Xenopus tropicalis: one gene and its partner. The protein of the gene in region 2 interacts with the protein of the main gene of each other region in a biochemical or structural test. Links are inferred from orthologs where the notes say so. Each region holds a gene or a part of one and is shown on either strand. Other genes may lie near its edges.

Region 1 (3,827 bases), on a different chromosome or scaffold from region 2:
ACAGTGTACTTTCCGGCCTTGCTGGAATCTCTCACGATAAAGCCACCTTCTTTATCCTGAAACACAGGAGTCCATGAGGAAGCCCTTTAACAGGAAACCTTATACCACATAGGAGGCGTAGAGCCTACTGCAGCTAAAACTATACATTTTATTAATATTTTGAAAAATGCATAGGCTTAAAAAATTGTGTTGTTGGGCTATAAATAAATTTCACACTCACTGCTGAAGGCTGAGTCTGCTGCTGCTGAGTCAAAATAATGTACAACTGTAAAAGACTTAAGGTGGCCATATACAAGCCGATTCTAGCTGCCGATTTCAGTCCCTTGGACCGATTCGGCAGCTTACCGGCCCGTGTAGGGGCAGCAACGGCGGGCCTGCCCATCCACATCTGGCCTGAAATCGTCCAGATATCGATTGGCAGGTTAAAAAATTCAGTCGGATTGAGGACCGCATCGGCTCGTTGATGTGGTCCCTGAACTGACTGCACCCATTACTGTCGTTATAATTCGATCTTTTGGCCCCAGGGCCAAACGACCGAATTAGCCTAAATAAAGGTGGCCATACACGTCAAGATCCGCTCGCTTGGCGGGGTCGCCAAGCAAGCGGATCTTCTCCCGATATCCCCACCTACGGGTGGGCGATATCGGGAGAAGATACGCTCACTTGGCGACCCCGCCAAGCGAGCGGATCTTGACGTGTATGGCCACCTTTAGTCATTGTTGGGGTCCTGAAAACCAATATTTACCATAGTTCAGCATGCCCAGGAGGGAGGAAAATGTAATAAGTGTACCGGGCTCCAGCTAGCGCAAAGGTATTTAGGCACTTACACAGGGCTGCAATGCAGCAATTGTAGTAAAGGGGAATGCAAAACATCCTTTTTAAAATTAAACAGAAAAAAATGAAGCAAATATGTCTGCAGAGTCCCCTTTACGTTGTACAGAATTTGGCTATGCTAGGGATTATACTGTACATTGCCACTTTTAACTGCAAATGTGGTGAAAGACAGACCTGACATACAGTGGTATTTGATCACGTCAACTTTCTTCTAATTCCACCTCTTTCTCTAAAAATCCTGATCATATATCCCTCACACCCCCACCAAATGCTTCTCCTATTACTAATCTTTCCCTTTAGTTACTATAACTTAGCTACACCAATATTGCCTTCTTTGTAACCTCTTATTGTTCTGTACTTTTCCCCACAGATCCCCTTACTGCCCACTTTATTCACCTCTGCTCGTAGCAGTTTTTCAGCCTGACTTCTTGTCATGTTTTTGGAGTACCACCTAGAGGGAGAAAAGAGAAGTATGGCACAAGTTTGTTTTTAAAGTCTTTTTTATTGCAAAAACATAGAAAGTACATTATCAGGAAAAACACAGAAGAAATACAGAAGTATACAGATGTATATTCACTTTAAAAAAAAACTCTTCTATTGTTCCTGGGTTAGTAAATAGCATAATGCTACAGATCATTGACCTCTGACAACAATGAGAAGTGATATGACAGGATATTTGAGCCATTATCCTTTAGAGCAGCGCTGTCCAACTACTGTGGTACTGAGGGACGTAATTTTTCTGACCTACATTGCGGAGGGCAGATAATGGAAGCCAATTTTGACCACTCCCCTTTTAAACCACACCCACTTCAAACCACACCCATGTTACCAAAAGAGCTTTTAAAACCATACCCACATTAATGGTGGTAGTGCAGCAAAACCCAAATGCTTGGTGCTCACTGCAGGGATATCACCCTTCATTAATAAGTGAAAGAATTATATCATGTCATATTTAGAGACACCCATAAATCCATAAATCTCCTTCTCCCCTGTGGATAGCACAGCAACCCCCAGCACATAATTACACACCTTAGGGACCATATAATAACTATTTCCAAATGCTAACATACAAACCCCTGCCAGGTTCACCTCCAACAGGCAGCATAAGACAAGCAGAGTATGGCATACACAGGCAGCATAGGGAAGACAGAGTATGGCACATACAGGCAGCATAGGGCAGGCAGAGTATGGCACATACAGGCAGGGTAAGGCAGGCAGAGTACTGCCTGTGTGTGCCATACTCTGCCTGCCCTACCCTGCATGTGTGCCATACTCTTCCTGCCCTACCCTGCCTATGTGTGCCATACTCTGCCTGCCCAATGCTGCCTGTGTGTGCCATATTCTGCCTTCCCTATGCTGCCTGTGTGTGCCATACTCTGCCTATCTTATGCTGCCTGTGTGTGTGCCATACTCTGCCTGGACTATGCTGCCTGTGTGTGATATACTATGCCTGCCCTATGTGCCTGTGTGTTTCATACTCTGCCTGCCCTATGCTGCCTGTGTGTGCCATACTCTGCCTGCCCTATGCTGCCTGTGTGTGCCATACTCTGCCTGCCCTATGCTGCCTGTGTGTGCCATACTCTGCCTGCCCTATGCTCCCTATGTGTGCCATACTCTGCCTACCCTATACTGCCTGTGTGTGCCATACTGCCTGCCATATGCTGCCTGTGTATGCCATACTCTGACTGCCCTATGCTGCCTGTGTGTGCCATACTGCCTGGCATATGCTGCCTGTGTATGGCATACACACAGGCAGCATAGGGCAAGGCAGTACATACAGTGACACAATGCTGGCACTGCTTCTACAGTCTGAGGTGTGAACAGGTGAACAATGTGGGTGATAACAGTCTGGGCCTGAGGTGTGAACAATGCAGGGGGTGAATAATGTAGGGATTAAAAGGTGTTAAGAGTACAGGGGATTACATGTTTAAACAATACAGCGAGTTTACATCCTGAACCTGAGGTGTGACCATGCAGGGGGCCAGTAAATCTCACTACTGACACCATTTAAAGCTTACACAAAGGTAAGCAGTCAGAGCAGCCAGACAGGTGGGGGACCACACAGAGGGGGGCTGTGGCATGCGGGACGCCAGTTGGACAGCACAGCTTTAGAGGAACTCTGTATATGCATAAAACACCATACCATACCCCATACTGTACTCACTCATATATTTCCAGTGGATCTTGAGCTTCTGTAACATAATTACCAGGTATGTATCCTTCCAGCCTAAGAGAGATGTACACACATTTCTTATCACAATACAACAAAGGTTCATTGCTGTTACATATAGAAATGGTTAATCAGACAATTAAGAAAAAAATTGTACATTTCTCAGGGCAATGACTACACAATACAATGACTAAATATAACACAAGCGACGCAACTTTTTTTATGTGAATTGCAAAACAGGACAGATTCGCACATCACTATTAGTAAATGGTCCCCCAAATATTGCCCATCCTTACACCATAGGGTTGATTCACTTTTTTGCGTCATTAAAATTGACGCAAAAAAAGCATGATTCGTTAAAGTATTATCGCATGCGTTACATTTCGCGCTACCGCATGCCTTCATTTTACCGCATTGCGTTAATTCTCACACAGAAATAATACTAACGCATGATTCACAAACACTTAGATACGCTAAATATCGCATTAGTCCATACGAAAAATAACACCTACTTGGGGCAGGCGGTAATTATAGAAAAGTACAGTTAATGAGCTTTTGGCAATACAATATGGACTTTGCAGTGGGATTTATTCAAGTATGTGTTGGCCCTAGAGTGATGTAGCCTCCAGTTTTCAGGGAAACGGTAATTTTCAGAACAGTAGTTTTTCAAAAGTAATGGTGTGTATGGCTAATATGGCGTGCGTTTTTTCGCAAGCAGCGACTATTTGTGCGCGCTGCGTTCATTAGCGCGCGTTCCGTCAAATACCGCACGAAAATAGTCTTCGCGACTTAAATAACGCAAGCAACATCGCGTCTAAATTAA
Region 2 (3,827 bases):
TTCAGAATTACATGGCCGGGGCCAGAAACAGGGACAGACAGAAAAGGCACGTGACTATGGAGCAACTGTGTGTGTATGTGGGGGGGTTACTGGGTACATACCTCTTCTGCCTGCCCACCTCTACTTCCAGCCCTTCTGTAACTCTGAAAAAGTTCAGCGGGTCATTAGTAGAGTATGGCATGGGGAAAGGGGGGGAGAGATGACGTACAAAGGATGCTGTATTGGTGGGCACTTGGGGGCAGATGACTGCATTTGATTTGCCTTGGGTGCCATTTCCTGTTGGCCTGGCACTGTATATGCCTTTGAGAAAAGAAAATAACCCGTTTTCTGTATTTTGTTATAATCTTTACCTTAGAGCGACACAGGTAAAAAAAATTATTTAATTTGCAATATTTTGTGGTGTGTGGCTTTGTAGTGTGTTGCAGGTGGGCAGGATTGTCACTTTGTAATGTAAAAAATATATGCCACATATAAACCTCTTACCATTTTCTGCTGACTGTCCGGATTCACTTTCTTCTGGATGAAAAACATGAAAAAAAAAAATATTTATAGTTATGTCGGGTCATGTTCTGTAACCTTCAGCCTAATGACACCTAAATTTCTTTGTGACAGGAGTATGATTATTCTATGAGAAAGCAGCAATATACAAAGGAATCCGTAATTCCCATATGACAGTAGACTTTATTGTAAGTGCTAATGCTTAGGGCAGCACCGGACCTTAGCCTGACCCCTTATCTCAGCAATCACCCATGCACAGCTGGCCCTGCTGTATTGCACATGCACGGATCACAGAAGTTTGTTTTGATTGTTTTTCATTTCCATTGCTTTTCCAAGTTTTTTTTTGTGTTTTAATTTGATTTTACCCTATAGGCAACCAAGCGCCTACATCCTAGACAAAGGCCCATAAAAGTCTACATGGTAAATAGGGCAAGGGAGGGGTAAAATTCCTGACTCAAAATGGCATTTGGTCCAAATTCTGAAAGAATGTTGCAAATAACTAGACTGATGCAGAGTATGGGATAATCAAGACTGGGACTGCTTATCACTGGCAAAGAATATGATTCATGCTATACAAATGAGTAAAAAAAAGAAAAAGCCTTGAGCAGCAGCACCAGAAACCAGTACAGCCCTGATGTCCTCAATTTATGCTGCAATAGTCTGCATTTTCTTGAAACTCGATCCCCGGAAGCCAATCAGAAACGTTTTACTCAATCATTTATACAGCTCAATAATTTACCAAATTAACATAATGTCAGACAAGTATGTATACACTGATTAAAGAAATTTAAAAAAAAAAAAAAAAATTATTATTTTTGATAAATTCTTCATACTTACGGTTGTTAAGAACCAGCCCTGGAAAAGGCCTGTTATAAAAAAGGAGTATAAAGTAGCATTAAATACATCATTGCAAGGCTTTTACACTAGAAGCCTACTAAAATCCACTATTTCGCTATTTATAAAGCACTACTAGGATACACACTGCTGTAAGAGAGGACAAGCATTATAGTAAGTAAGAAATCTGTATAACCATACAGAAGTGACATATAAGGTCATTAATGACCCTAAGAGGACGCAAGTGCAAGGACATAAACAGACGCAAGAGCATGAATAACGTGCAAGGCATGGGACAGATAGGGGATTGGAGGGTAATGCAAGCAACAGCACCCTGTTTGTGCCCTTTTTATACACTTTGACCACTGCGTGAGGAATGGGAAGTAGGTTCCTGCCACACAGAACTTATAAGTACTTACACTTAGGGGTCCATTTACTAAACAATTTTAAGATAATTTCGTATTTTTTCTAACTTTCTTTTTTTTTTAACTAATAAAAGATTTTGGAATGTATGCGAAAAGGGTGCAAAGGGTGAGTGACAAAACAGTGTGCAGTCACCCTTATGAGAATATGCAATAACAGTGGGCTTAATAACAAGATCTCTGTGGGTTTTAAAATCTATAAAAAAATCTATAATTACGTTTCAGTTAAATAACACTTACCTTATAACTGTAAACTTAATAAATTCAGCTGAATCCAGAATCCTACGCATAGAACTCATTTCAAGGTAACTGGGGGCTTTGAATGAAACTCCAGGAGGCATTCCATCAACTACCACACATCCTGGGTTAGTTGTAATTTTCCTGTAAGGGACTTTTACTGGAAAGTTCATGCCAATGGCTTCTCCTATAAAAATATAAAAAAAATATAATAATAAAGCCTTAATACCTTCTAAAAAAAATTCCAAACTGTAGATTTTTAGTTTAACTACAAAGATAATACATACAATATTAATCATCCTATACAGATGATGAGTATACACAGATTTGGGGCACCATCATTAATGGTGAAAAACACTTTTCCCTGGTCGTACTCCATATCAGCACTATCTGGGATATCCCCGCCCCCATGCCCCATCAGAAGGATCCTCCCCAAAGCTTTAAAAGCCACCCCCACCCCCTCTATGGCGTCTTTTTTTCCTTCTGCTTTCCTTGCTCCATTGGAAGCAACATTTTTGCTTTTTAGCCTTGGGAAAGCATTAGGTGACCGGAAATGGCACCTAGGGACTGGGGTTTTTTGGTCCATGAGATCTTTTCCCCTGCACATTACCTCATATCCTGGGATCTTCGGCTCTGTTCTGCTTGATAAGGTAGGACAATGCTGTTTGGTATATTTGATCCCATGTGCCTTTCTGGTTTGTCATAATGGCATCCAATGGCAAGTGCTAGTCCCCCCATCCGTATGCCCTCCCAGGCCGTGAGTGTCTGGTGGCAATGGTGTGTGGCCCGACACACTTAATATTTTTGCGGATGGGCGAGGGAGGTGGAAGTTAGCAGTACTCAACATTTAGTTAGTGGCCTGAGTCTGGCGATCTCCATATTCCTTTTTGTTCTACTGTGTGGAGAGAGTTTTTTTTTGAATAGAGCCAGAGTTCAAAGCCTACTGCCTCCCTCACAAAGTCTTTCCTAAGGTTTTGTATTAAGAGGTGTTTTAAAAAAAAAAAAAAAAAAAAAAGGGCCTGACACCCCACTGTCTTTAAACATTGGGCTGCATTATGTACTACAAATGGGTTAGTTTGCCTGCTAGTTGCTACATACCTGGATAGCTTTAGCTGAATGTAACCAGTCAAATATTATGGTTACTTGCAGACAGATTGGGTGATTCATTGAACCTTTCAGTTGCTCTGGATTGTGTTACAGTTGCTAGGGCAGAGCCATGTAGTAACCTTGGGAACTGCCTAATGAAATGCATTCCTGAGTAGCCTCAGGTGAATGTGATTATGTGCTAGCTACACTCTACCTGAGCTTTCCAGAGATTGCAGCAGTCCTGTGTTATGGCTACTTGCTGATACATGGGGTAATGTGTCAACTCCTTTCAGCTGCCCGCATTGTGTTATGGTTGCTAGGGCACTGTAGTGTAGTTACTATTAAGAACTGGCTAATTAGATGCATTCCTGAGTAGCCTCAGGTGAATGTGATTACGTGATCAGCTACACTCCAGCTGAGCTTCCCAGAGAGTTGCACCAGTTCTGTGTTATGGCTACTGCTGCTACACCAGGTAATGCACTAATATTTCACTTACTGTGGAAGGTGTTTATAGTAGTCGGGGCATTATAGAGTTGAAGTACCTCTGAGATCTGTATCTGCATTAGCTGTGTATAATTAAGTGTATGCACATGGATCCAGTACTTTGCCATCACGATTGTAGCCAGATTGTATTGCTGTATTAGGGCTGAAATTGTTCAGGTGCCTCGCTAGTAGTAGCCTGGCTAATTATGTTTAAAACTCTGTATAAGGGTCTGTAGTATAACCCTACTGGCTAATAGGGGTGTAACC

What was found.
Region 1: the proteins of gtf2i (region 2) and btk form a complex in vitro, tested with the Homo sapiens proteins (4 studies listed by BioGRID and IntAct, with this or other methods). The link is inferred for Xenopus tropicalis from reciprocal best matches to the Homo sapiens genes GTF2I and BTK.

What each region holds. Positions count from the first base shown.
Region 1 is NC_030684.2:37,667,819-37,671,645, reverse strand, and holds part of btk (tyrosine-protein kinase BTK), read right to left. Parts: intron 3,062-3,827; coding exon 2,999-3,061; intron 1,286-2,998; coding exon 1,231-1,285; intron 57-1,230; coding exon 1-56. UniProt on the Homo sapiens protein: Non-receptor tyrosine kinase indispensable for B lymphocyte development, differentiation and signaling. Binding of antigen to the B-cell antigen receptor (BCR) triggers signaling that ultimately leads to B-cell activation.
Region 2 is NC_030678.2:100,524,806-100,528,632, forward strand, and holds part of gtf2i (general transcription factor II-I), read right to left. Parts: intron 2,887-3,827; exon of another isoform or gene 2,464-2,886; intron 2,179-2,463; coding exon 1,995-2,178; intron 1,365-1,994; coding exon 1,336-1,364; intron 517-1,335; coding exon 484-516; intron 1-483. UniProt on the Homo sapiens protein: Interacts with the basal transcription machinery by coordinating the formation of a multiprotein complex at the C-FOS promoter, and linking specific signal responsive activator complexes.